Linked DNA regions of Rattus norvegicus. The main gene of each other region encodes a partner of the protein of the gene in region 6 in a complex. Links are inferred from orthologs where the notes say so. Each region holds a gene or a part of one and is shown on either strand. Other genes may lie near its edges.

Region 1 (4,239 bases), on a different chromosome or scaffold from region 6:
TTGATTATGTTCCCCCACTCCGAAAGAAATCTTGCCCCTCTAGGTATTTTCCTCTCTGAACTGCATATAAGAAGTGCTGGTTAGGGCTGGAGAGATGGTTCAGTGGTCAAGAGTGCTGCTTGCACACACACACACACACACACACACACACACACACACACGTATATACAGGGAGCAGCACTATTAGGAGGCATGGCCTTGTAGGAGGAAGTGTCACTGGAGTTGGGCGTTGAGGTTTCAGACGCTCAAGCCAGGTCCACTGTCACTCTCTCTTCCTGTTGCCTGCCAATCTGGATGTAGAATTCTCAACTACTCCTCCAGCACGTCTGCCATGCTTCCTAACATGATGATAATGGACTAAACCTCTGAATCTGTAAGCCGGCTCCCATTAAATGTTTTCCTTGGTTACGTTGTATCTTCACAGCACTAGAAAGACTAAGTAAGACAGAAGACAGAGACTCTAGGAGCCAGAGTTGGGATACATTATTACATCTTTCTGGGCATTCCCCTAATCATCTCTGGAGGGATGACTCCTCACAGGCTGTTGTGAGGAACTCCACTCTTTCCATTATGCCTATCACACTTAGTGGGCACTCCACAGACAGTGCCCTTCCTTGTATACGGAGACAATGCTGTCTCAGTGTAAGCACAGATTTCACTTAACATGTCCTGTTCAGAATCGTACAAATACCAACCATGTAGAAGCAAAAAGAACTGATTTTCAAAAGCATGCTGCCATACAGGTGGCCATTTGTGACTCACACATTCTACTTACTAGACTGGTTACCCAACATCTTTTGCTTTTGTATAAAAGAAAAGGTCCGGGGATTTAGCTCAGTGGTAGAGCGTTTGCCTAGGAAGCACAAGGCCCTGGGTTCGGTCCCCAGCTCCGAAAAAAAGAAAAAAGAGAGAGAGAGAGAAAAAAAAAGAAAACAAAAGGTCCTTCAACAAGAATTTGATTATAAAAATTGAGCCCTAAAATACATTATAATTTAACTACATTCTTATTTTAAATTGGTTGTTCTAAATGTAAGAATTTAGGAAGATAATGAGAATTTCCACTGAAACTGATTTTTGTTTTTCTCTGCATAGTTTTTTTTAATTGACGGTTAATACTTTTAAAACAATCATGGGGTAGGGGACTGGAGAGATGGCTCAGTTGTTAAGAGCACTGACTGCTCTAACCAGAGGACCTGTGTTCAATTCTCAGCAACCACATGGCAGTTCACAATTGTCTGTAACACAGGTGTACATGCAGGCACACAAGCATAAAAGCCAATGCACATAAAATAAAACAAATTAATGAAAAAAAAATCATGGTCTCTAGAAGGAAACTAAGTTTTAAGAGCAAGGCTGACTATTGTGGTCTGTTTTTCTTGCTTTGATTTCTTAAACTATCCTAAATTATCCCAAATATAGGAATGACTTTTTTTCCCCCAAGGCAGGGTTTCTTTGTATAGCCCTGGCTGTCCTGGAACTTGATCTGAAGACTAGGCTGGCCTCTGCCCACTGAGTGCTGGGAGTAAATGCATAGTCAGCCTTGCTACTATCTAGGTTGTTGAGGCTCTGCACGGTAAGGCTCGCACTTTAAATCAGAAACATAAAATCCTAATTTTTTTCAGGTTTTCCCCTACATAACCTAAATTACACAAATGACCAAGGTGACAAAATGCAATGATGAGAAGTGGCTTTGTTTTCCAATACCCCCTTTAAAAAATAAAAATAAAAAAAGCCCAAATCAAGACGGATTTCCACTTTCTTGAGTTCAAAGGTGAAAATCATGTACGCTGTCGTCCTGATTGAGGAGGCAGAAACTGGGGTCAACTCGGTGGTATTTCGTTATTAGATTGAGGGAGAGAGTTTTTTATACAGGGAGAAAGGAACAGGCAGAGGAAGGCCATGTTAGCTTGGCCGCTGCCAGTGGCTGGTGAGGAACGTGCTTGCTCTGCTAGGAGTTTGGACACAGCCCGGTTTTGTGCAGGGTGGGAGCGGGAAGCCTCTTCCCCACCCTGGCCTGCGAGCGGACTGCTTTCACGTAGCGGGGACCGGCTTGTGGGAGAAGGCGTTCCTGCTATGCACTCTGCCTCCCAATCCGCTCGGCGACAGCGCCACCGGGTGCAGTAGCTGTGGCTACTGAAGCTCGTGGTCTCCCGGGTCCGCCACAGGGTCGCGGTCTCCTAACCCAGGACAGTACCCTGGCTGAAGCCGTGGCCGCCATCTTTGACCCGGGCACGGCCTATGCGGCCGCCCGCCCGCGAACCACACCTCCGCGTGGGGCCCCTTGCCACTCACCCGCGGCCTCACTGGACTCTGGCCCGGTACGGCTGGAGTCGCCGAACATGGTGAGGCTGAGGTTGCTCAAGCGCTGACGAACAGGGTCCGGCAGCTCCATGTCTGGCCTGCCCGGGCCTATCCCCTCACGTTCCCGCTAGTGGGCCAGCTCAGCGGCGCGTGGCGGTTCCCTTGGCAACAGGGCTGTGCTGGCCGCTGGGGACCTGGTTCCTGGGCTGCCCGGCGCGGAACAGAGTCCTCCAGAGCCTTCTCCGCGGAGAGGCGAGCGGGAGCCACCGGCCCGCTGCCGAATGTGGCCTAGTGCTGCTGAAAATGGAGGGTTCCTCCGTCTTGCTTTAAAGCTGCAGCGTCTTAAGATGATCACAAGTAATAAGCCATTTGGTCCTGAGCTGAGCCACAAGGAGCTCTCACACCAAGGCAGTTTTTCCGTAAAATTGGTGCGCCATTTCTAGAGGGAAATGGAAAAGAAACATAAATCTTAAAGAATGCGCTTGACCCAGTAGGTTCCTTTCTATCGGTACATAAAATCTGGAGTAAGGCCAGGGTGGATGAGACAAGCAAACCTGCTTCAGAAGACAGGAAAATAACTCAAAAGTATTGAGAGCAGTTGTTTCTGGAATATGGGTGACTTAAAAACTAAAAACATCAGCCGTTCCCTGCTCTCCCTTAAGATGTATCATTTTAGCACTCAGGCAGAGACAGGAGATCAGGCTAGCCTGGACTACATTGCAAAATCCTTAAAACCCAGAACAAACCGTAATAGCCATATAAAGAAAAGCACAATCGGATGTACCAGCACCCAAGTCAGTCAACCGTATCAGCATCTCCAGGAGCTACGTTTTCTCAGTTGCTTATGAAGCAACTTTATAGTACACTAATCGCACACTGAAGTTTAAAAAGAAAATCTGACTTTGATGTCAACATTTGTATGAATCTTCTTTTTATTTTATGATCACACCAAGTTTGTCTATGTTGATAAGTTTCTGTGTAGTTTCTACGTAGGAGCAGTTATGACAGGTGCCACTGTTGGTGAAAATGCTTGTTGGTAAGCATATGTTTATGTTGAGTATAACATACACCTTTTTGTCAAGTGTAACATTCACGTTTATGTTGAGAGTGTGCCGGAGAAGTGCTGAGTGGAGTGGTGTGTAAGACCGATTTTATTGGGATCTACGAACACATTCCCAAAGAGGTTTCATCAGACTCTCCCACCTCCAGCTATATTTGAACGTCCCTGTTATTTCATGAGTGTGGGCTTATATTCCACCCTAACCTTTTCATCTTTCTGGTGAAGGGCGGTGGGTCTGCAGATGTCTCAGCGGTTACCAACACTCACTGCTCTTGCAGAGGACCCCGGTTCATTTCCCTTTACCCACATGGTGGCTCACGTCTGTAACTCCATCAGAAACCTCGTTCCCAAAGGGAGTGAGAAAGGATTTATTCTGAGCTAACTATGAGTCCCCAAAGCGGGAAAGATAGATTCAGGTTATCCAGGTAATCTGTTCCGCCATCAAAGTGGCAATATGAATTTGTATTACTAGAGGGTGCAAGATAGCCATAAATCAATGCGTCTACTAAATCCATTAGTGAGGACACCAGGTAGGCAGGTCACAGCAAGGCAGGGACACCTTTGCCATAGGTCTCAAATGCTGTATGAGGGTATAATAGCTTTGGGTTGGTGGATTGGTGAAAGCCACAATCGGCTAACCTAACAGATTCCAAAGGTGTTTTCTGAATGGAATGATCAGATACAGAGGCAAGTGGTAAATGGATATCAAGAGGACTGAAGAGAGCCTAAGATAATTTCGTCCTTTGATCTGTAACATTCTAACCAACAATTACAGAAGCTCGGAATCTTTAATAAAGGCGTGTTTTTCCCAAGAAGCTTTAGGTCACACAGTCAAAAGGAAAATTCACATACATGAATGTCAAGAGGAAGAAATGGAA
Region 2 (3,500 bases), on a different chromosome or scaffold from region 6:
ATATGAGATTCTCTATTTTGAATAAAAATTTAAATTAACAAAGTATAGGAAATTGTGGGGAATGAAGAATGCATAAACTATGAAGAGGAACCAAGAAAAGATCAGCTATAAATTTCAATATCTGGACTGGATATATTAAAGCACATCATTTCCAGCTCTTTTCTAAGTCACAAACATACACAGAACAACAACAACAATGACAACACTCGGAATTACACTTTTTTTTTTGTTAAACATCATATCCCGAGCAATTTTCCATACATACATAGTCATTTGGGGAGGTAGAAAGGATGACTTTTATTTATATATAAAAAGTGGCAGCATAGGAAAATCAGCCAGGCACAGTCTGATATCTCTGCTCAGTCGGTTCTGATGACCCCAGTCTTCGTAGCTTCCATCTGGTCGGTAGCCGACAACGCCAGGAATCCTCTGGGCCTTGAGCTCCTTCACTGCGAGGGTCTCCTTCCGCTCAGGCTTCACCATCCCCGGGGCACACTCGGAGAGCTGGAGGGCTGGGGACCCAGCACCCACTGGCTTGCTAGTACTTGATCATGTGTGGAGTAGTGACTCTCACTGACTTTCAGTTGCTCCCTAGTCCTGCTGGGCATTTTCCAAGACATTTATGCCTGCATCCTCCTCCTTGTCCCCTTCAAAGTCATTGCCACTGAAGGTCCTCATTGTCTGACATGAGGACAGTGGACTCCCATCTTTAATATAAAATAGTTAAGCACTAACTTCAGAGGTTTAATTGTAAAGGTAAACCAGCCTACACAATCCTCTCAAACGTTTGCATGCTTTCTTCCTGTGGAAAAATCTAGACTCTAAGAATTTTCCTTGGGTTAAAATTCACATAAGCAGTCTAAGACTAGAGAGTCCCAAGAATCTCCTGACGTTTACTACTCAAAACATTTTCCAGTTGTAAAAACCTTCCTGATAACACCTGTCTTACGGTTCACATTTTATTAACCATTAGCTTCACAGAAGTATGGCAAGTTGAAGACGGAGCACCATGGTTTTAGATATCAATATCGCTGACATATTAGTTATATGCACTTTACCCTAATTTGCTATCTTGTAATTGTGACTGACATATATGTCCTATGATAGTAAACTAAACTGAATTACTACTCACGTCCTGAGGCTTTCCAAAGGGTACACTTTTGATGGCACTCCTCGGTTGTCATCTTTGTTCCCAGGGGCTTACGGCTTAAATTATTACAGGTAACCTTTCAACCCACAGTCGCGTCTAAGAGCTAAGGGAGGGTTTAGCTCCTCAATTCTCCAAGTCGCAGATATGGGCTCAGTGAACCCCTAAGGCTTTCTTCTTAGCACCCCTTGTTCTTTTTTGGGGTGTCCTTGCTCGGGTCTCAGTATCATCAACCTTTAGCCAATCTTTGTTTCATTTATCTCCCCAGGTTTCTTTTATTTAGGGTATTTTACTGTAGACTTAAGATCCTGTCATTTCACTTGTGATTCTCTAATAAGGATTTAATGAAACAACCGCCACTGTCATTTTTATAACTAACAAAATTAATCACTTAATAGAACAGCGAATGATTATGTCAGACTTTCTCGGTATCTTAAGCTTCGCTGCCCTGTTTCCTAGTGTCCCTCAAGCAGGATCTCCTCTACCCCACCATCAGCCCTCCTCTCCTTTAACGCCGTTGGTTTGTTACAGACAGTCAGCCATGTGCTCTGTGGTGCGCTGCACATTGGATGTGCTAAGGACTTCTATCAGCTCTGTCTCGGTTGCTCCTCTGGACTCTGTTCTTCCTATAAAACCGTGGTTAAACTAGAGATTTGATTGTCTTCAGGCTCGGTCTTCCCAGCACAGCAGGAAGTGCAGTGTCGGCTTGCTTCATTTTTAACTGACTGAAAGGAGTCTCTGTGTCCGGATCCCGTGAGCCTGACCCTTCGCTAGAGCTGCCATTGACACGCTCTTGTTTAAGAACCACTGATGACTGCAGTCTGTCTTTCCACCCATTAGTCTCAGTGCACTGGTGCTCCCCTAACTCAAACATCCTCCCTCTCTCCCTGCAGAGGAGGAAGAACTTTCCTGGCGCACTTGATTACTCTGAAATCCATGGAGACTGCAGACAAACCCGGGCTCCATTCGTACTCAGGTCATTACTTGGCAGCCCTGCGACTTTCCAAAGTCATTCGTGAGGACTACGTTCTTACCGCCTCTCGCCTCAGGTTCATGTTCATGTCCTCCATGTTGGTGTCCGCATGGCCGTGGACTGACCTGCCGTGAATGTAATATCCAAAACATCTGTGGGACAGCAGGAACACTGACACCTGCAGAGAGCGCGGGAAAAGAGGCGATCAGGGACTTCTCCATAACGGCCAAGTAAGCTTTTGTTAAAATGGCTACCTTTTACCCAAAATAACGATTAGCAAGGAAACAATGTTGTTTGTTGTGTATAAAGTTAGTGGAAAGAAGGCTAGAGCTGTTTTCTAAGAATGTGTGAAAAAAAATCAGGGGCTGCAGGATGAATGAATCACTAATTAATTATTCATAATTAAGAACTGCAGATAAAGAAGAAAAAAGGTAAGGCAAGAGTATTAACTTGTGGAAGAATATATCTATTCTTCAAATTAATAGCTGGTTGAAAATTAGATGGGCAATCCGATCATCACAAGCCAACTTATTAAACTGCTGTAGAGCTGCTCGGTGAGATGTACGGGCACGTTTTAATGCTTCTCTACACATACCTGTCTTTCCAAAGTGGAAAGTGACAGTCGCAAGATGATCTTAGAGAGTACTCACGTTACTCATGGAGCACAGGTCAACGAACTGCCGGATTTTGTCTTCTATGAATCTCTCATAAAAGGCAGCAAAGAAAACAGCCTGAAACAGCAAGGCATAGTCACGCATGCTGCCTCCTTCGGGAAGTCCACCGTCCTTAATAACCGCAGTGGACTATTTTAAGAAAACAGACGTTCCAACCAAGAACACAGTGGCCTCTAAAGGTTCCCATGGGATAAAATCCCATTTATCTGTTCTGAGTCTATCCCCTAAGGCGGTGAGATTTGGAATTATGTCAAGAGTTCCTGAGTGACCATTTTGAAAAGTGCCATATTTGGAGCCCTCCCCACCACTCTCCAATCCTAACCTCTACTCTTCTTTGTTAACTACCTCACATCGCTGTCAGGTATCTTCATAGCATTTGTCATAGTCTAGTTAGCTCTTGTAAGTGTTAGGGCTTTCACACAGATTCAACAGTGTCTATTACATAAGGCATGCTTAACCTAAGGATGGATTAGAGACTCCATAGCACCTTGTTTATAGTATATCCTTAAACTAAACACCACCACCACACACACACACACACACACACACACACACACACACACACACACACACACACTCTTAAGGAACAGAACATACTAACAGTTAAGATTTAAAATGTAAAGGAGTGAACACTGAAGCCTGCTTGACTGTTAGGCACATTTATGAAGAGGTTAGATGTTAGGTGCAGTTTTAAGAATGCTACTGT
Region 3 (2,343 bases), on a different chromosome or scaffold from region 6:
CAGAAGCTTCTCAGGATAAGTGCTCTTTCCTTATCTCTCCCTGGGGCACGGCTACAGGGATGGAGGTCACTACTTGGTTCTGAAACACGAAGATTTTGATTCTTTCAAACACCCAGAGGAAGATGAGCAGGATGCTGACATACTGGATCCAGGCAAACTTTATCATCTCCCAGAACCCTGGCTGATAAGTACAAATGCTAAGGAACAGCAGCCACGAGTAAGGAACAGCTACCCCAAAGCTCAGGTCAGATGGGAAACAGAATACTTCAAATACTCTCCAGAGATTATTAAGATATAAACATGGATAATTCTGACTCAGAAATGTTTAGAAAGAAAGAGGCACAGGAAATTGATTTTTCTTTGCTGTAGGAGCAGCAGTCATTTGTATGGGGCTAAAGAGCTGTGGCAATTTCCTATCTTGTGAGTCCCACATCTGTTCCTACTTGGGGTAACTAAACTAAGGAAGCTCTTCTTTCCTAGTGGAACCCGGCTAACAGAAAGGATATGAAATGACTTCCACGGGATAGCGGATGACAGCATCGATCACAAAAGGAGCTTCAGCGGCCCGGCCCACCAGCCAGATTGGGTTGGGGTCACTGAGGACAGTGGTAACTGCAAGGCAAACATTAGTCATTAATTCAAAGCGAAGGGCTATAAGTAGTCTTTGAGTACAGATCCCAAAGTCTTTTCTGTTTCTAAGATCTATTTGCATGCTTGTGTGTGTGTGTGTGTGTGTGTGCAGGTGTACCAATTCTCTCCCTCCACCATGTGAACCCCAAGGATAGAACTCAGGTCATCAGGCTTAATGGAAAATGCTCTTATCCACCCACTGAACCATCTCATTGACTCCTTTCTTCTCTCTCTGTCTCTCTGTCTCTGTCTCTGTCTCTGTTTCTCTCTCTCTCTCTCTCTCTCTCTCTCTCTCTCTCTCTCTCTCTCTTCTCATGTAGCTCACTGGTCTCCAACTTGCTATATTACCAAGGATGAGCTTGAATTTCTGATTACTCTCGTCTCCATCTCCTGAGGGCTGGGGCTATGTGTGTGTGTGTGTGTGTGTGTGCTACCAAGCTTTATGTGGCACTGGTGACTGAATCGGGGGAATTGTACCCGATCTATGCTAAGCAAGAGCTCGAGCTCTCAGCCCCGAAGAGTGAAAGTTGTATGAAACTATTTATATATGGACAAAGAGTGAATGAATTAAAGAGGAAAGAGTTGATCTTGGGGCCAGCAGTTGTCAGATTTAGTTTTAGGAATTGTATTGCTGCTATTGTACTGCATAAAATTAAAAAGAAATACTGGAATTAAAAGCCCTCCACTTGTGAAACGTTTGTGGCTGTCACCCATAATGTCGTGTTGCCAGAAACACTTTTGATGCCTTTAGGGAAAATGTTAGACCACAAACCAGCCTGGTGTGCTGACTCAAGCCTGGGGACACTCCTCTAGGGACGAACGCTACCTATAGTCAGTTCTGCCGGTGCCTCCCTTCTACCAGCCTACCATTGCGGACTGCCTGACACGCATCACCCATCGCTGTCTGGAAAGTGAGGACAGTAAACGGCCCTGACTTCTCTTACAGGTGTACTATGAGAGACAACTCACTCAAACCAATACACACTAATGAGAGCAAAGCAGCCAAGCCAGTGACAGGATAAATAAAGCGAGTGATTGCTGATATGCTGGGCTACGGGAGAGGTGGCTTGTGGGGAAGGGTGTGGACAGTGGACAGAGGACAAGTTCCGGCAAGCCCGGGCAGCCTGTGGACAGGGGTCCAGCAACTCACCATTCCTTTCCTGATAGGCAGCGACAATGTGAGTCAGGTCGTAGTCATGGGCAAAAGGACTGGTCCCATTGATCACCGATACCTGGGGCGAGGCAGGAGGACACACTGTGAGCACTTCGCTCTCCTTCCCACGCAGCAGCCCACCCAGCCTCAATCCTGAGGCCACCCTGGCCCAGAGACCACGCTCTTGTGCTTGTGACCCAGCCCTGGTTCAGAATTATTTCTGTAGAGTTCTATTTTTATTATTCATACTTGTGTGCGAATGTGAGTGTGTCAGAGGGTGGGGGTAACATGTACATGTGAGCACACGTGCCCATAGAGGCCGGAGGCATTGGGTCACCCTGGAGTCTGGAGTTAGAGTTACAGGTGGTTGTAAGTGACCTTATGTGGATGCCGGGAATAGAACATCTCACCAGCCCCGGTTCAGTAATCTTTTCTTTGGGGATGAATAAACTTTCTGTAATAATCATTTTTGAGTACACACACACACACACACACACACACACACAGAGAGAGAGAGAGAGAGAGAGAGAGAGAGAGAGAGAGAGAGAGAGAAAGAGAGA
Region 4 (4,300 bases), on a different chromosome or scaffold from region 6:
TTCTAGAAGCTGGGCAAACAATCAGCAGCAAGGCACTTGTTGTCATAGAAATAAGGTCTGAGCAATCAGTCAGTCATATACACAATTACTAAAAGCACCTTAAAGTCATGGCTCTGACCAGTGTTAGGAGAAATTTCAGGAGCACAGGACAAAATTCCTAAATTCTATCAGTCAGTACATGCGAAATAAATATGATCGTCAGAGAATCAGATAGGAGCAATCAGGATGTTGTCAGGTCCTGATTACACGGAAATGCTAATCAGCAGATCATGCAAGCTCCAATCATCATTTTCTATCTGCCCTCCGAGAGGAGGAACAGGTAAGGATTAACCTCCTGACGATAAAGGACAAAGGGAGCCCATTCCTAATTAAGTAAAGACATTCCATATTAAAGAAAGGGTGAGAATATGACAATTTAGCACGAACCCAATGACTTATAGTTATTGCAACTCAAGAGCAATATCTATTTGCAAGTCGCCTGAAATATTTTATTTTTCCATTCGGCGCAGAAAGAGAGAAACAAAGTTCTCCCATAATGCTCCGCTCACATACAGCAAATTAGAAGCCCTATGTGAGGTTCTTATTTACATATTCCCGCCCACTCACTTCCGCCTATTTTGTACCGTAAAAATCCAAATAGAAGCATAAGCTACTAGCTCACGTACAGAAGGCTAGAAAAAAGCCTTTATTTACATCAGCCTTTTGATTTACCCAATGGTCTTCTGACAAATAGTCTAAGCCTTGCTCTTATTATAAAATGAATTTTATTACAAAACTCTAATAAAATTATAACCCAAGATTTGTGAGATCTTATCCCAACATTGCCATTTTCTGTTTAGACGCAGTTGGGAGGAGCAAAAGACTAGGGCGAGAGAAAACTGAAGCCTCTCCCTTTCTTCTTCCAGCAATGGGAGGGAGTTCATCACGTTTCCGGCTTTGGTCTCTTCATCGGATTGTGATCAGAAGGGTTTCTTTTTCAGCCCAAAGACAGCGATGAATAACGCAGTTTCAGTGACAGCTGGAAAAGCGCTGTGGAAGTAGGGGGTGGGTTTAGAGCCCCTTCCGACCCAAACACTCAAACCTCCAAGCCTTATATGTGAGTGGGTTAGCGGATGGGTACGACTCTTTAAAACTCTACCAATTTCACATGTGCAGGAAAGGTCTAGGTGGGGGAAACCTTCAGATTTGGGGTAGACTTTCCACCACCCTCCATTCCAAAATAACCTGCAGAAGGCAAAAATGTACCAGTACGTGGTACATTCCCATCGCTCGAATATGAAGAAAGATAGGGCCACAGACGCGCTACAGTGGGCTGCAATGGCTTAAAAATACAGCAGAGTCAAGGAAAATAATAGGTAAGTGATGGGTCCCTTTAGTACTCGGACTTGGGCTCAGCTTGTTCCCTTCCCTTAAGACAAACACCAGAGTTGGCAGCCATGCCTTCTGAATTTGTGGACACTTATGTGTAAGAGGCCAGAGCTGAGTTTGTTTTGATAGGACCTCTCCCTGTACACTTTTGGGAGTTAATGTCACATATGCCCTAGGCCTCACAAGAATACCTACAGGTCTGATACACTGTGGGAATTTCTCCAGTGCTCTGGTCCTCCTTGTCCACAACTCAGAGTCAACGGCTATCTTTTTTTTTTTTTTTTTTTTTTTAAAAAACAGGGTCTCTCTATGTAGCCCTGGCTGATTTGGAACTCACTATGTAGGCCAAGCTGGCTTCGAACTTAGAGATTCACCTGCTCCTGCCTCCCTAGTGCTAGGATTAAAGGTTTGCAACATCACACCCGGGTATCGAGAACCTTCCTATGTGTCTCATTTTCTTGGTCCCTTTTGAGTTCCCACAATGGTTTGTATTTTGCACACTCCTACAGAATACTGTTTAATCACACTGATTTACAGATGTTTATCCATCTCTTCCTCAAACAGGATAAAGTGGTTTTACTCCCACTCATGGATCGCCAGAACCTGGCTCACATCAGGGTTTAAGGTTTGAAGTCTATTAATTCCCCAAAACTGTCTAAAACCTCTCACCTAGAGAGATTCGCTTTGCCACGTAGGGCAGAGACTTGTGCCCAAAAGGCCTACAGAAGTGGAAAGAGTGAGTGGTGATGATGTCGCATGGGGACGCTGGCCAGGCAGAAAGGATACAGAGGAGGCTCTGGGTGCTATTAAACATGGAGACTCCTGAGAGGAAGCCAGCCAGCTCCACTGCAAAGAGGCCCAGGGTGAGGCAGAGCGCTGCTACCAGTCTGCAGAGAGAAAGGGTGATGGACCTGGGTTTCCGGATTGCGTAGAAGACCCTGGCACTCTCACCCCGCCCCAAGAGCTCACTGGTTGTCCTGCTTCTCATATTCCTCCGGGGTGAACTTGAGAGGCAGGCAAGCCTGGATGTTGCTTTCCTGGTGAGCCGGGCAGAAAGAAAGAAAGAAATGTCAAAAGAGGGATGGGGTTGCGGGGGACGGGAGCAACGGACCCAGTGTGGGTCTGTGGGAGTGGACTGAGCTGAGCTGGGTCCACTCTAAGGTGAGAATGGGAGGGACAAGAAGACACGCGCGCGCGCCCTGTCCACGTCTTACCCGGGACCAGAACAAAGTGATGACAATCACCAGATGAGCCAAGAGCGTCAGGAATCGAGAGGGCACGAGCCCGGAGATCCGACCCATGGCCTCGGGGGCCCAAAGCGGAGGCCGTAGAAGTCTGAGGAGGGTCACTCATCAAGTCTCCCAGAGCAAGCAGGCCAGACCTCTCTACTTAAGCCTCCTTCCCGCGTGCTCAGGCGCCGCCCGGTTGCCATGGTAACTGCGTCCTCAGGCGCCATGCAGCTGCCTCCGGAAGTCTCGCGATAGTGCTGCGCCCTCTGCAGATGTCTATAGGCCAGGTACCCGAGCCGATGCTCACCTCCTGGTGCTTGTGGGATGAATCCGGGAGGATGCACCCGTAACCACCAAATCCTCCCTTTTCCTGTGCTTCCCACTCACTGCCTTGGGCGCCAGGAGATGAGGGAACGAAGGAGTAGAGCTTCAGCACCGAGCTTTGCCCCACAGTCTCGCCAAGCCCTCCCCGCCCCCCCCCCACAGCCCCTGGTTGTCAGAGGGCTCCCTCTCCCACCCAAGACCAAACCTCTGCCGATGAACGACTCTAATTTCTCCCTAAATAACTTGTCTCGGTTTCATGAAAGATTTGCCGAGTGCAGAAATGAGCAACCTTGGAATGGGTAGAATAGGATGTGGGTGGATGAGGTGACAGCCTCCTCGGGATCCCAAGGGATCTGAAAAGGTGAAGAATGGAGTGGGGGACTAGAACAGCTTGTGCGCCCCTGGGAGGCTTAAACCAGGCTGATTCACCACCGATTTCACTCTCGCTTTGAGTTGCCAGGCCGCGGACATTGCTCAGTTACAGACCCAGAACCTCTTCTTAGGGTGATGTGACTGATTTGGGGCTTCGGATGAAATGCCTGCGATCGGAAAGTTCTCACTACCATCCCAGTTCACAATCAAGTCCCATTGACAATGAACCTCCTCCTTTTGCACCCCCTCTTCTCTCATTTCTCTGTGTGTGTGTGTGTGTGTGTGTGTGTGTGTGTGTGTGTGTGTGTGCCTCTAAACCAGCCTAAAAGACAAGACCCAGAGGGATTTCATTCATTCAACAAATATCTGATGTCTCCCAGATGCCAGGCACTGTGCTTGACTCAGAATACATCGATAAAGTCCCTCCAGTTTATATTCTAGGCAGAGAGACTGATAACAAAACAAACAAACAAAACAAAACAAACAAATACACACACACACACACACACACACACACACAAAACCCCAACAAAACCCTGCAAGGTAATGTATGCTGTAAATTTAAAAACTTTAAAGGGTGACACTAGAATAATATCAAAGGAAAGTTTTGAAATAGATAATTCCTAAATTTTCGTTTCAAGGAATTGGGGGGAGGGGGAGAGAGAGAGGAAATGTTTCTGTCTCCCTAAAGTAATACATGGGGTCCCCTTACCTAAACCAGTGAGTAAAAACATTTAGAATGCAGAGTCAACGTTTTTTACTTAAAGGTCATGAAAGACAGGCTGGAGTTCTTCCCACTGAGTGGGGGATAAACCTAACCTAACATGAGATCCCAAACCAGACAAAAGACACCCCCCACCCACACACACACTCACACTTTCATTATAAAAGACTGGTGGAATGTTTGACAAACAGTATAGTATTTGTAACTTAAATAACAACAACGTAGATTTTTTTAATTTTTTATTTATTATATATGAATACACTGTAGCTGTCCTCAGACACAC
Region 5 (4,160 bases), on a different chromosome or scaffold from region 6:
TGCCATGCTCACTTGTTAATACACTCTGTGACAGTGTCAGAATAGGAGCCCTGGGCGTGTAGAACTGGAGCTTTGCGTTCCCTCCACACATGAGTTCTCCTCACCCACGCATAGCAGGTCTCAGTAGGACGCATGCCAACTTCGACCCAAGCAAACCAAGATTTCCAAAGTTATGTGAGGTCACAGTCTTTAAATCTCAAGCTCAGTCTGCCCTCTGAGCTTCGGGGCCCCAAAGTTCCCCCTGGTCCCACTTTAGTCTTGCTAAAGCACGTTTACCATCACTCTTCTAAACTATCCTTAGTGTGGAAATACTTACAATGGAAAGCCACAAACACTATAGCAGTGTCCTCATTACACAGGCGACACAAGGCCAATAATCTGTTTTACATTGGACAGAAAAACAACACATTTTTAACGGAAAGTACCGACACTGCTATCTGACCACACGGACCTATCTCTAAAGTCAGCTGTCATAGTCACATCCAAGAACCCAGGGATGACCCAGCAGATACAGAGAAGAACTGAGAGAAAAAGGCTGTAGTATATAAAGCACTTAATTGATGCTGCTCCTAAGGATGGTGTATTAATTATCAAAGAAATTATGGCTTTAAAGAGTGAGGCGTTTGAAAAAAAAAAAAACATGGTCCTGGGTTCAAATTCCCATCTTGCCAGCTGTGTGATCTTGAAATAACACAGCCGATTCTGTAAACTCATAATCATACTTCCTACCTCAGGTGACGATGGTTTCTTATGGGCTCTGTACTGAAAATATTGCAATAAAGTGACTGTCACAGACCAGGCTCACTGTACTGGTAGGGTTTATTATTATAGATGTTGCCAGGGTTAGGGTCAGAACCGTTGGCAACTCTAACAAGATAGGCTCGGCCACAGTAGGGCAACAAAAGAGAAAAATAATGGACAAGTCAGAGATAATATGGTGACTTTGGGAAGTGGAACATAGGTGTCCAGTGATGTCAAAGTCTGTCTTCCTGGGTCCTGATGTGAAATTTAGGTCTGAATAAAAGGTACCAGGAGGGATATATAACTAAGCAGTTTTGGTCAAGGTGTGGTCCTTCCATCACTGACACATCATTGTCTCTGTCCCAGTATCTTATGCAAGGTCACTGACAAGCTGTCAGAACTCTTTTTTGGAGAGTAGTCATTCTCCACGTTGGTACTTGGAGCCAATCTTTTCCTTCTCCCAGCACTTGGTACTGAGAAAATACAATTTTTAGAGTTAATTGTCTTAATAGTCTGATAGCAGAAGGAGAGGCACAAATGTTTCTTTGGAGTATCTTTTTTCCAACAAGAACGGTCATAAGAGGTCACAGTTGGGGGGAAGGGATCAAGAGGGGAAACATCGGTTCAGAGAGGAAGAGAATCATAAAAAACACCTTAGGGGGTTGTGCACCCTTACTCTCTTTAGTTTTTATTCCCACCCCTCACAGCCCTAAGCAAGTCTCTTCTCCCCTTCCTCCAGCCATGCCCAGGACAAGGCCTTTCCTTGTCTGTTTAAAGTGTTGCTGGAACCTCCTCCCCTCTACCATACTCACTTTTTCTCTTCAGAGAGGAGGCTTTTCCTTTCCAGTGGGAGGGCCCACTCAAAGCTGGGAACTCTCAGGAGCTGTGATTAATTATGTAACGGCAAGTTATTTTAGCCCCGGCTTCTAGAGTTCAAGGTGAGTGACACAGCTGTGTGTGGTCATTTAATCAGATGGAGGGGACACCTTTCACTTGTTGAGGGCAGGCTCTGCTCAGTGGGATTGCTCAGTTGCTCAGGGGGGCTGTGGCAGGAGTCCTGCTGTGCGTAGAGCTCTTTAGACCTTTTTACAAATCCCTCTTGGTGCTAATCTCATGTGCACTCCTTATCTGTTTATACATCTGCTTCCCCAATGCTTCTCAGCATTGGACCTGGTCTGCATCGTTTTTGTACACTGTAAACCTGAGTTCATTGTCTGCCGTATTATTGATGCTCAATAAAAAACTCTGTAAGTGAACTCTAGGTCAACTATTTATATATATATACACATTTTCCCTCTATCCATATACAGTCCCCCCTCTACATATAACATACTGTCGTTACATTTATTTGTAGAAACGTTTGCAATAGCAGACATGTATTTCTCATTAGACTTTATTAGCTTTTCTTAGCACCCATTTGCAAAAAAGAAAACAATCAGTTCAGCTGATGGCTAGTAGACTTTTCTGGGAGCTTGGTGGCCTGTGGTTCCTAGCTCTTTGTCCAATACCAAGAAAAGTGAAGTTTGCAGCACCAAGCACTCCCTCCAGCCCGCCCTCCTCTTCCTTGGAGCATTTTAAACTGAAGGGCCAAAAAGCAACATGGAGCTAGCGGTTGGCAGCACACTGGCCAGCGAGGTTCTCTGTGAACCAATCGGTTTGCACTTCTGCAAGCCAGAGACCAAACCGCAGCTGAAACCAAAGCTGTCTCTGCAGTGCCCCACCCCCCACTTTGCATTCAGAGAGTAAAACTGCAAGCGAGCTGAGCTGAGAGTCCCTAATGTTAAAGCGTTCGGTCTACTCTCATGGCACAGGGAGGGGCTGCTTTCCAAGCCGGAAGGAAAGGAGGTGAAAGCAGTACACTCTGCAGCCCTGTTTCTTTTAAAAAACCGATTTACCTTAATCCACTCTACAAAACGAAGTTTGCAGATTCCACTCTCTGGGATGGAGGGACGAGATGAGAGACCAGTTGTGTCAAGCTAGAGAATCTTTTAGAAATGAGCGAAGGGGTGGGCTGGGGTAAGGGAGGTTGTTCCCTGAGAAGCTGCAGCCATGTCTCAGGGAAAAAAAAAAACACCAGCTTAGCAACCAGTTCCCAGGGAAGGTCACTAGGCGGCTGCTTTTTTTTCCTTTTAAAGTGACAGTTTACTTTTCAGTCTTGAAATATGAGCTTGCTTGGCAAGCAGAGAAAAATAACGTGCTGAGAAGAGACAAAGGGAAAGCAACTGGGCAGTTGAGCAGAGAGGACTCAGGCTCGGAAGCATAGTACCCTGCCTCGTGTCTCTGGGTTGCACGGCATGTTGGGCAAAGGACAGAAGGTGTTCATGAGTAGTGATTTAGAATCAGGAGGGGCCATGTTATGTGGAAGAGATGTTTAATCATCACCAGCAAAGACTCTGTGGCCGGGCATCAGAGCTCCATGTTTGCTGGCTGTGCACAGAAGCTGGACCGCACAAACCTATGCTCTGTTTATTCTCCAATTCTTTACTACACATGACTCAGCAGGGATACAAACATGATGGCTCAAAAAAGGCAAGAAAATAGGAGAAAAGGCCGAGGAGAGAGAAAAGTAACGAGCAGACCGAGAGCCTCTGCGGACCAAGGACAGCCACAGATCAAGGAACTCCACTGACCATGGCCTCCTAACCTCACGTGCTGTTCCTCAGAAGCCTGCCATTTTGTTTCTTAGATAAGGTCTCTCACTGGAAGCTGGCATTTGGTGATTAGGCTAGGCTGCCTGCCTAGCTCCAGATTCCTGCTTGTCTTAGCCTCCCTGGTGCTGACAGAACAAACATGGACCACCATGCTGAGCTTCAGCCACCTTCAAAACCAGGTCCTCACGATTGCGTGATAAGCCCTTTACCAATGGAACTACCTCCTAGCCTCTATTTTCTGTGTCATAAAGCACTGACATTCATTATATGCATCTCTGAAGCTAGCTAATTCCTAGCTAATGGCTCCTCAGAAATGTGTAAATTCTCTTTGATACATACTAACTGACCCCAAGCTAGCATTTCCAACTACTGCTTTATTACCATGTAATGTCCCCCTGCTCTACGTCACTCTGGAGTCGGGTGGTTAGGGGGCAACTCTATAATCCAGAATATTCTGAAATAATTCAAATTATTTAATTCTAAACCCATCAGCATACTCACTGTCACAGCCTTCCTTACAGGGGAAAAAAATCCCAGTAAAGGGTCTCTTTTGGAGCCTGATGTTTGGGGAATGCTGTTTTCGGAGACTGTTGGCCAATGAGTTTCATTGACAGGCCTGTCTTGGCCTCCCCAGTGCTAGGATTATAGATATCTGTAGACACTTGGCTTTTATGTGGGTGCTGGGGACCTGAACTCCGTATTTGTTCTGGGCAAGCATTTTATTGATTGAGCCATTTCCCCAGCTTAAGAAACAAATTATATTCATTC
Region 6 (4,267 bases):
AGACTATATAATCTGTTGACAATGGATAAACTTTTCACTGTAGCATGAGAGCTATCTGTGTACACAATATGTGTAGGCAGGGTGATTTAAGACCCATAATTTAAAAAAAACAAGCAACTGGTCCACCTTCCTTTGCTCTGAGGTTCAGAGCAGGAGGTGTGTAAAGGTAGCACAGTTGGGGTGCAGGAACCAGGGTTCTTTCCATCACCTCATCTTGCCCTGGTTCTTGATAGTGGGGATTAAAATTCCATTTAGGACCTGCCAGAGCGTTGTGACACCCACTTGAAACTCCAGGACTGGACGGGAAGCAGAGGCAGGAGAATTTGAGGCCTGCCTAGCCTACATAGGGAGATCTGTCTAGTCAAACTAAACCAGACCAGAATAAGCCAGTGAAGGAGGCAGGAAAGCAGAGGTGGAGGTGGGGAGTGATAGAAATAGGCTTCTGCTTAAATTATTCTCTCCAGGTGAGGAATTGCTTTAGGTCTTTTTTTTTTTTTTTTTTTTAAATTTGAGTACACTGTAGCTGTCTTCAGACACACCAGAAGAGGGCATCAGATCCCATTACAGATGGTTGGGAGCCACCATGTGGTTGTTGGGAATTGAATTCAGGACCTCTGGAAGAGCAGGCAGTGCTCTTAACCGCTGAGCCATCTCTCCAGCTGCTTTAGGTCTTTGAGAAGCAACAATTACTGCTTTTATTCACTAGGTAGGGAAATAACACTTTCATTACAGGTTAGTTACTCTCTCCAGTTATTTGTTGTCTGACTGCCATACTCTAAGGGCTGACTGCAGAGTCAACCCATGTCTTTTCAGAAGTCTTACTCTTTTACTCTGCGGCCTGCAACAACACGCTCTTGCTTCGAATTGCGGCCAGGATTCTTAACTCAAGCTTGTTGGAAACATCTCTCAATTTCTACCTGGGCATAAACTGTCTCCCTTCAACACCTTTGCACTTTTTGGGTGGCAGGAGAGCCACGTTATAGCACCGCTGTTTACCACATGTCCTAGAAAGGTCATTCTACCTCCAGTGGTTTTGGTGTTTCCACAGGATTTTGTTGCGTCAATGGGCCCTAGGTAAGCCTTGTGCACAGTGGCATGCCGTGCTGCTTTTTTTTTTTTTTCTAAACTAACACATGGCAGTAGAAAGAGAATGGTGGGCCTGGGGCCGCTCCTCCAAGTATTCGGCCGCACCCGGCCAATGAAGCCCAACACCATGACGCCAGGGGTGGAGAGTTCAGTTCGAGAGCTGTTTGGGTCTCCTGGGCTCTTTCTGCCTTCGTATATAACCTTATCCTCTCCCTAGACCACAGTCCGCTGTTGACCGCGGGCGTTGCTCCGTGCAAGGGCGCGGCCGGTGGGGTAACCATAGAGTAGCACTCGCAGGCAGAGCGGCCAGAAAACCCGGGCGCCTCTGTGCCGCGCTTCCGGCAGCGCTGCATTGCCCCGGGCGCTGCAGCGTACGCAGTTTCCATGGGGACTGAACATGGCGCCGCGAGGTGAGACTCTGGAGGTGTGTGTCTCTGCCCCTTATATCCCACTGGTACCTGCCAGGCCCCTCTCCAGAGCTCTACCTAATCCTCCATTTCTAAAAGTTGGGGTCTTACTCTTCACTTGTCCGAATTGGGCTTGGGTTGCTCAGACCACCCCGAGTGGCTGCATGGATACTCGGATACTGTACTCTTAAAAATTCCAGGCTGGCCCTGCTCTGGGATGGCCCAGTTACGAATCCTCCGGCCTTGGACAGAATTAAGCAAATTTCTGTGCTCCAATGTCCTCTTCAGTAGTGACAGGGTTGAATATCTGAGGTGCCTCTCGGCTGTGATTATAGCTTAATTGTCAGAGAAGTCGACCTTAAAGTGATTCCTGGGAAAGGAGGTTGAAGGCAGTTCCCTTCACATCAACACTCTTAGCAACCAGAAGTTTCTCCCTCATTCACAATAACCTTGTGTTTTCTACAGATTACACAGAATCATTACACAGAACGGGGCAGAGCTCCAGCTGCCCTGTCCATTCTTTGTGTTGCTTTTTTTTTTTTTTTTTTTTTTTCCCAGATAAAAGATTGTCCTCAACCCCTCTGGAAATCCTGTTCTTTCTGAATGGGTGGTACTATGCTACCTATTTCCTGCTGGAGCTCCTTATTTTCCTGTACAAAGGTAAGGCTGGGCCTAACTGGCCTGCTTCAGCAGCCCTTTTCTACTTTAGCCTACTCCAAGAACCTTCTATCTTCTGGCCCCTGCAGCATCTCCACTGCAAGGCAGAAGTCTCTCCAACTAGTGGCTTTGGAATGATCAAGTAGGAAGTCTTTCAGCAAGTCTTGAACTTGAGAAATGTGGGCTTCCCCATCCCTCTTTACTGAAATATTCAGATCTGTGTACCGTTATAATTCAGTCATTTGGGAGTCAGGACTTCTAGACTTAAAGCCTGTGGCTGTAACAATCTATACCTTGCTAACTGATTCATGAGAAGTTAAGACTAGTATCCTTGTCCCTGGATGTGTGGCAGCCTTGTGGGGATGTGGGGGCTGTTTACATACTCTGGCTTTTACACTTGTAGGTCTCCTGCTGCCATACCCAACAGCCAACCTAGTCCTAGATGTGGTGATGCTGCTCCTTTATCTTGGCATTGAAGTAATACGATTGTTTTTTGGTGAGTGTTGTTCAGAAAATATTTCCATTGCTTATGAGACATGCTGGAGCCTGAAACTTGATAACCTAGGCTCACTATCAGAGATTGGGTCTGTGTAATGTATACCATTGATTGCTTCCTCCCTAAGGCTTCAAGCTGCTGCTTTGTATTTTAGGTCAAGATTTACCTGTGTGTTTCTAAGTGAGGCTAGAACTGGCAGTAGCATTTGATCTTAGCTCATTCCTTTCCAGTTGCCTGACTACTACAAGAGTGCCTGCTTCTTCTCCTTGCTTTGTTTGAGAGAGTAAAGCAGTACATTCCTAAAGAACTCTAAGGTTCCCTCCACTTCTCTAAACAAGGATTCCTCTAGAAGCTTTTAAACACCAGAGACACAGAGCAAAACTGCTGATTACTTAGAACATATCATCCCAGTGTTAAGATACAAACCCAAGGGAGAAAAATGGTAAGGGACACTAAGAGTCAGTTCACATATAGAAGACCAAAAACCTTGCTAAGGTGAGCATGGTGGCACATGCCTTTAATCCCAGTACCCACTGACAGAGGCAAGAGGATGGCTATGTGTTCCTAGACATAGTGAGTTCCAGACCAGACAGGGATGTATAAGGAGATCCTAGCTCAAAACAAACAAACAAACAAACAAACAAACAAACAAAAAAACCTGCCAATGTGATCAAACTTAGTAAAGAAAAGCAACAAAAACAAGGGAAAAAAAAGCAAAGAAAAACATGGTAACATTTTTTTCTTTTATATATTGGCAATAGTAAGAAAGATTTATACAGTACAGAATCCATATTTGGCTTTTAGAATACATATTTTTTAATTAAAACATTGTTTTATGTCTATGGATACTTTGCCTGTATGTATGCCTGTATAGTACGTGTATGTCTGGTACCCACAGAGGTCAGAAGAAGGTCTTGGGCTAGAGATGGCTCAGAGGTTTAAAAGGACTTTTAAACCTCCTGCTTTTGCAGGAGGACCCCAGTTTAGTTCCCAGCATTCACATTAGATAACTTACAACTGTCTAATTCCAATTCCAGAGGATCCAATGTTGTCTTCTGGGCTTTGTGGGCACATACAAGCACAAGTAAGAATTAAAAGTTATTTAGAGAGAGAGAGAGAGAGAGAGAGAGAGATAGAGAGAGAGAGAGAGAGAGAGAGAGAGAGAGAGAGAGAGAGAGAGGCGTCAGATCCTCTGGAACTGAAGTTACAGAGTGCTGAGCTGCCATTGAGTAAACCTGGTCCTCAGGAAATCAGCAAGTGCTCTTGACCACCCAGTGCTCCTTCTCTGTAGCCCTAAAGAACAGACATTTTTAATGCACTTAAATTATTTTCCATATGAATTGAAGTTTTAACGTACATATACATTTACATACACACATGTATATTATAGCTATACATATTTTACTTTGTTTATAAATTATGTGTATACATGTGGATATAAACATACATGTGTATACACACAGATACGCAGTTTGGTTTTGGTGTTTTGAAGCAAGGAGACCAGGATGAACTTGAATTCTCAATTCTGACCTTAGCCTCGTGCATGCTGGGATTATAAATGTGTACTTCTATGCCTGGCTCATATGTTGCTTTTTTTGTCTTTTTTCTTTTTTGAAACAGG
Region 7 (4,177 bases), about 200 Mb from region 6:
CAGAAAAGGGTGTAAATTGGCATTGCATACATAATTCAATATTGCATAAAGTTATGTGCAACATACAATTCGATGTTGCTTATTTCATGATGTACGTAATTCAAAAAAAATGTGTAAAACTGAATAAAAGAAGGTAATGAGAGAGTAACCCCAGGGAGAGGGAGCATCCGTATCCATGGCAACGTGATGAGATTGTTCTCGTTTGAAGTAATTTTCAAAAGAGGGTACCAGTAGCGTTACCAGCTTCACATTAATAAGGTTAGTCTGGCACTGTTGGGAAAGAAAATTCGAAGTCAAAACTGGAGTCAGGACACAGGTAGTGAGGCCAGTTCCCGCGTAAGAAAGACTGGCAGGTTGCCTTAGGTAACCGTAATGGATAGGCTTTGCACTAGGGACATTAAAGATAGGTTTGGTAAAACCCTGCAGGGATGGAGGTAGCTTAAATCAAGATAGGTTTAGAGGAGGGGATTTTGAGGGTTTTTTTGAATGACAAACTCAGCAGCTCAACATGCAGGCTTTATATTGGTGACATTTCCCGTGGTCTCCTCATTGCATTTTGAGACCCTGACGAGATGTGTTTTGTTAGGTCTGATACCAGTCAGAACGGAAAAGCTGGCCTCCGGACAATCACGCAATACTGTCGCCATACAAAGGAGCCACAGGTTGTGTGGGAGGGCAGCAGCCGAAAATGGCGTCTGATTCTGAGGGAAATGATGCACCTCGTATTTTTCCACTCTGGGTGACTCACAAGCCCAAGATGGCGCCTGAAGCGGAAGTGAGGGGGCGTTGGAAAGTAAATGTGGCGTAATCCCTTTTCCACACTGTAAACTCGGGCGCCTGAGGATTTGTCTGCAGCAGGGATCCCCATTCACATTTAAAGGCGCGTCTCATTTTGTGGGGTGACGAGTCTTTCTCGGCTGTGCTGCCTCATTCGCTCACTCGCCCATCCATCCATCCATCCATCCATCCATCCATCCATCCATCCATCCATCCATCCATCCATCCACTCGTTCCCGTATCTACGCCGGACGCGTCACCTCCCACCTATGTCCCCCCCCCCCCCACACACACACACACACTCTCCTTCAAGCTCTGAGTGACCGCGCTTTGCCCGCGGCGAGAGCCGACAGGTTTCACTAGCGGGAGACGTGCACTCGGGACTCGCTTCCGGCGCTGAGGGCGGAACTCAGCCTCCGGCCGGGTGCGCGCGCCCGCCGGACCCCGGAAACGCGCTCCGGAGGCTGGGTAGGGGGCGTGGCCGTGGTCAGGCTGGCATCTTCTGCCCGGCGACTCAGTTACCTAGGTAACAGCGGCAGAGGCGGGCCTGACGTCACGGGCGGCGCGCCTCCCGCACTGCGACACTGGGCTGACTGGACAGCGTGCGTGGCCAGCGGTCGAGCGGGTTGAGCTGCTGCTTCCCTAGCCCTTGCCTGGGCGCAGGGAGCCGCTTCGCGTCGTCCGGCTGTCTCTCCTTTCCGTGAGTATCCGGCAGGCGCACTGTAGTGGGGGCCGAGGCCTTCCCTGTCCCTGGGGGGGACGGCGATGAGACTGTCGAAGACCCGGGGATGCGCAAAGGGACTCCCGGAGGCTTTTGGATGCTCGCAAGCGGGCTGCTGGAGGCGGGGGATGCCCGCGAGTGGCCTCTCTTTTGCTTGTCCCGGCTGCCTTGCACAGTGCTCTGACCGACAGACACAGCCTTCGCCTTCCCATCGGGGTTCAGGGGCTTAAATGCCCCTCGAGCTGCTGCGTGTTTCCTTGTAGATTGACAGTCAGGTGCGCAGTGACAGGCTGTCTTCATTACATCTAAGTACAGTAATTGATTACGTTTCAATTGTAGGCTCATCCCAATGCCTAAAGCCCCCCGAAACGGAGGCTATCCGGGAATCTACTAAATGGTAAATTCTGCCTTTATTGTAACTGTGTAAACGTCGTAGAAACGTTTCCTCTGTGATTTTGTTTTGTTTCGTTAAAGCAAAAAGATGCCAGCAAGTATTTCACCTGTTGCGTAACCAATTACTTGCGCTCTCGGGAGAAGAAAAGGGAATATTTAAAAGGATATTTGCAGCAAATTCAAATGCAAAAAGAATTTTTAGCAATATTTACAATATTATTTATTTATGGGACTATGACAGATTTATTGATTGAATTACACAAACATGGCTTTTTGTTCTTTTTCTTTTGTTATGAAAATTTGCTACAGAATCCTTGTCTAAGTGTGCCCACTTCTTTTCTTTTTTTTTTGCATTGATGTGTAAGCACATACTCCATGTTTTTCAGAAGGGGGGAGGAAACGTAATCCAGTTAATTTTTCTGCGCAGTCTCTCTAAGAACCTCCCATGTTTTTGATGGAAAGACTTTTGATGAATATAGTGATGTCTAATACTGTGCATGCTAATTTTTTAAAAAATTGTTTTGTAAAATGACATCTACAAAATTAGGGATGTTTTATTAAATATAATCTAAATACACATTATAAAATTATACAATATAAATTATGGTGATGTCATTAATCAGATATAAGTTACTAATTACTGTGTTTTCTGTAGTATGCATTAACATTAAAATGATTCTTTCGTTGTGATGTTATCATTAAATATTACTGTTTACTCAGTTATACCTCAAAATTTCAAATATTACATCATTAACTATACATTTAATATTTTATTTCTTATCTATTTGTTAAATGGACATAAAGTCATTTTACTGAGCACCTGTGATGTGCATTATTATTTTTTCATTTATCTTGCCCTCCTATCAATATGTAAGTGCTGCTTACTGATGCCACCCACGCATTAAAAAATCCAGGGCCTAATGAAGTTAATACTTCATCCAAAGCCATTTATCAAAATAACAGTACTAGAACCTTTGTTTCAACTGAGAGTCACGAAATCAGCCCTTCAACAATATGTGTGTGTGGTGTACATGGGCACAAGCAACAAACATTTCAAGGACATGAGAATGTGTGCTTATGTGGAGAGGAGGAGGGGACGTGCCTGTGTGTGGAGGGCACACACACACACACACACACACACACACACACACACACACACACACACGCAATCACACCCAGCATCCAATCCAAGCGCGAGAACGCGAGAGCATGTAGGTGGGGGAGGGGATGTGAGGGGTGCGCGTGCACATTCACATGTGTGTATGTGTGTGTCTGTGTGTCGTATGTTCACCCGCACAATTATGTGAGCTCTTCAGCACTCCAGCACGCAAGAACGCACAAGTGTGTGTTTGTGCACTGGATCACGGGCTGCCCGCGGGCACGCCCGCGAGCACGCACACGGGCACGCGCGCAGGCTTGCGCGCACGTACACACATCTGCGTCTGCGCATCGGTTCAGGTTCCCAGCTTCAGGCTTGGTAAAGGCTTACTAGAGGTATTTCACAATACTTGCATTGGGCTTCCTCACAAAGATACATGTTAAAATCAGCAGGGAAACAGCACATGGGGCTCAGCCCATAGGAATCCTATTACAATGGCTGTAGCAGTCCCAACAATGGAGGAACGATCCTCTTTCACCTCCTCGCCAGCATCTGCTGTCACCTGAGTTTTTGATCTTAGCCATTCTGACTGGTGTGAGGTGGAATCTCAGGGTTGTTTTGATTTGCATTTCCCTGATGACTAAGGATGTTGAACATTTCTTTACTTTTTAATAGTCACATGCAGAGGTCTGGTTCGTTTCAGCTCCTTCACTGCCAAATACATGGGGTAGAGACTGCTTCAGCTTCTCTGCCTTCTCCTTGTTTGTGATAACCAGGGAGTGAAGGTACTACTGCAGCGAATTGAATTTCGAATTCTCCTTGTTCTTTTTTATCTTGACAGATTTGGTATCCTTCCGCAGGGCTGTGAGTAGAAGGTCTTTGCTTTCCTCAATTTTCCGAGGCATCTGACCTCAGCACCTGCCCCCCAAAAAACCTCACTGAACATTTTTTTTTGTGCATTTCTTTAGGTGCTTCCTTGCCATTCAATATTCCTCAGCTGAGAATTCTTTGTTTAGCTCTGTACCCCATTTTTAAATAGAATTATTTGGTTCTCTGGAGTCTAACTTCTTGAGTTCTTTGTATATATTAGATATTAGTCCTCTATTGGATGTAGGATTGGTAAAGACCTTTTCCCAATCTGTTGGTTGCCATTTTGTCCTAATGACAGTGTCCTTTGCCTTATAGAA

What was found.
Region 1: Tmem216 (region 6) and Tmem17 share a complex: the UniProt entries of both Homo sapiens proteins name them as parts of the tectonic-like complex. The link is inferred for Rattus norvegicus from reciprocal best matches to the Homo sapiens genes TMEM216 and TMEM17.
Region 2: Tmem216 (region 6) and Tmem67 share a complex: the UniProt entries of both Homo sapiens proteins name them as parts of the tectonic-like complex. The link is inferred for Rattus norvegicus from reciprocal best matches to the Homo sapiens genes TMEM216 and TMEM67.
Region 3: Tmem216 (region 6) and Tmem231 share a complex: the UniProt entries of both Homo sapiens proteins name them as parts of the tectonic-like complex. The link is inferred for Rattus norvegicus from reciprocal best matches to the Homo sapiens genes TMEM216 and TMEM231.
Region 4: Tmem216 (region 6) and Tmem107 share a complex: the UniProt entries of both Homo sapiens proteins name them as parts of the tectonic-like complex. The link is inferred for Rattus norvegicus from reciprocal best matches to the Homo sapiens genes TMEM216 and TMEM107.
Region 5: Tmem216 (region 6) and Cc2d2a share a complex: the UniProt entries of both Homo sapiens proteins name them as parts of the tectonic-like complex. The link is inferred for Rattus norvegicus from reciprocal best matches to the Homo sapiens genes TMEM216 and CC2D2A.
Region 7: Tmem216 (region 6) and Ahi1 share a complex: the UniProt entries of both Homo sapiens proteins name them as parts of the tectonic-like complex. The link is inferred for Rattus norvegicus from reciprocal best matches to the Homo sapiens genes TMEM216 and AHI1.

Annotation. Positions count from the first base shown.
Region 1 is NC_086032.1:100,718,233-100,722,471, reverse strand, and holds the start of Tmem17 (transmembrane protein 17), read right to left. Parts: upstream 2,801-4,239; 5' UTR 2,393-2,800; coding exon 2,293-2,392; intron 896-2,292; exon of another isoform or gene 821-895; intron 1-820. UniProt on the Homo sapiens protein: Transmembrane component of the tectonic-like complex, a complex localized at the transition zone of primary cilia and acting as a barrier that prevents diffusion of transmembrane proteins between the cilia and plasma membranes.
Region 2 is NC_086023.1:30,338,167-30,341,666, forward strand, and holds part of Tmem67 (meckelin precursor), read right to left. Parts: intron 2,852-3,500; coding exon 2,771-2,851; intron 2,299-2,770; coding exon 2,182-2,298; intron 1-2,181. UniProt on the Homo sapiens protein: Required for ciliary structure and function. Part of the tectonic-like complex which is required for tissue-specific ciliogenesis and may regulate ciliary membrane composition.
Region 3 is NC_086037.1:56,794,173-56,796,515, forward strand, and holds part of Tmem231 (transmembrane protein 231), read right to left. Parts: intron 1,863-2,343; coding exon 1,781-1,862; intron 613-1,780; coding exon 507-612; intron 189-506; coding exon 11-188; 3' UTR 1-10. UniProt on the Homo sapiens protein: Transmembrane component of the tectonic-like complex, a complex localized at the transition zone of primary cilia and acting as a barrier that prevents diffusion of transmembrane proteins between the cilia and plasma membranes.
Region 4 is NC_086028.1:54,269,696-54,273,995, reverse strand, and holds Tmem107 (transmembrane protein 107), read right to left. Parts: upstream 2,801-4,300; 5' UTR 2,670-2,800; coding exon 2,583-2,669; intron 2,406-2,582; coding exon 2,338-2,405; intron 2,280-2,337; coding exon of another isoform or gene 2,256-2,279; coding exon 2,155-2,255; coding exon of another isoform or gene 2,038-2,154; intron 1,322-2,037; coding exon 1,225-1,321; coding exon of another isoform or gene 1,030-1,224; coding exon 960-1,029; 3' UTR 476-959; downstream 1-475. UniProt on the Homo sapiens protein: Plays a role in cilia formation and embryonic patterning. Requires for normal Sonic hedgehog (Shh) signaling in the neural tube and acts in combination with GLI2 and GLI3 to pattern ventral and intermediate neuronal cell types.
Region 5 is NC_086032.1:71,645,532-71,649,691, forward strand, and holds the start of Cc2d2a (coiled-coil and C2 domain containing 2A), read right to left. Parts: upstream 2,801-4,160; 5' UTR 2,637-2,800; intron 1,573-2,636; exon of another isoform or gene 1,554-1,572; intron 1-1,553. UniProt on the Homo sapiens protein: Component of the tectonic-like complex, a complex localized at the transition zone of primary cilia and acting as a barrier that prevents diffusion of transmembrane proteins between the cilia and plasma membranes.
Region 6 is NC_086019.1:216,623,720-216,627,986, reverse strand, and holds the start of Tmem216 (transmembrane protein 216), read left to right. Parts: upstream 1-1,467; 5' UTR 1,468-1,483; coding exon 1,484-1,496; exon of another isoform or gene 1,497-1,510; intron 1,511-2,051; coding exon 2,052-2,153; intron 2,154-2,553; coding exon 2,554-2,646; intron 2,647-4,267. UniProt on the Homo sapiens protein: Part of the tectonic-like complex which is required for tissue-specific ciliogenesis and may regulate ciliary membrane composition.
Region 7 is NC_086019.1:17,580,654-17,584,830, forward strand, and holds the start of Ahi1 (jouberin), read left to right. Parts: upstream 1-1,377; 5' UTR 1,378-1,477; intron 1,478-1,837; exon of another isoform or gene 1,838-1,895; intron 1,896-4,177. UniProt on the Homo sapiens protein: Involved in vesicle trafficking and required for ciliogenesis, formation of primary non-motile cilium, and recruitment of RAB8A to the basal body of primary cilium.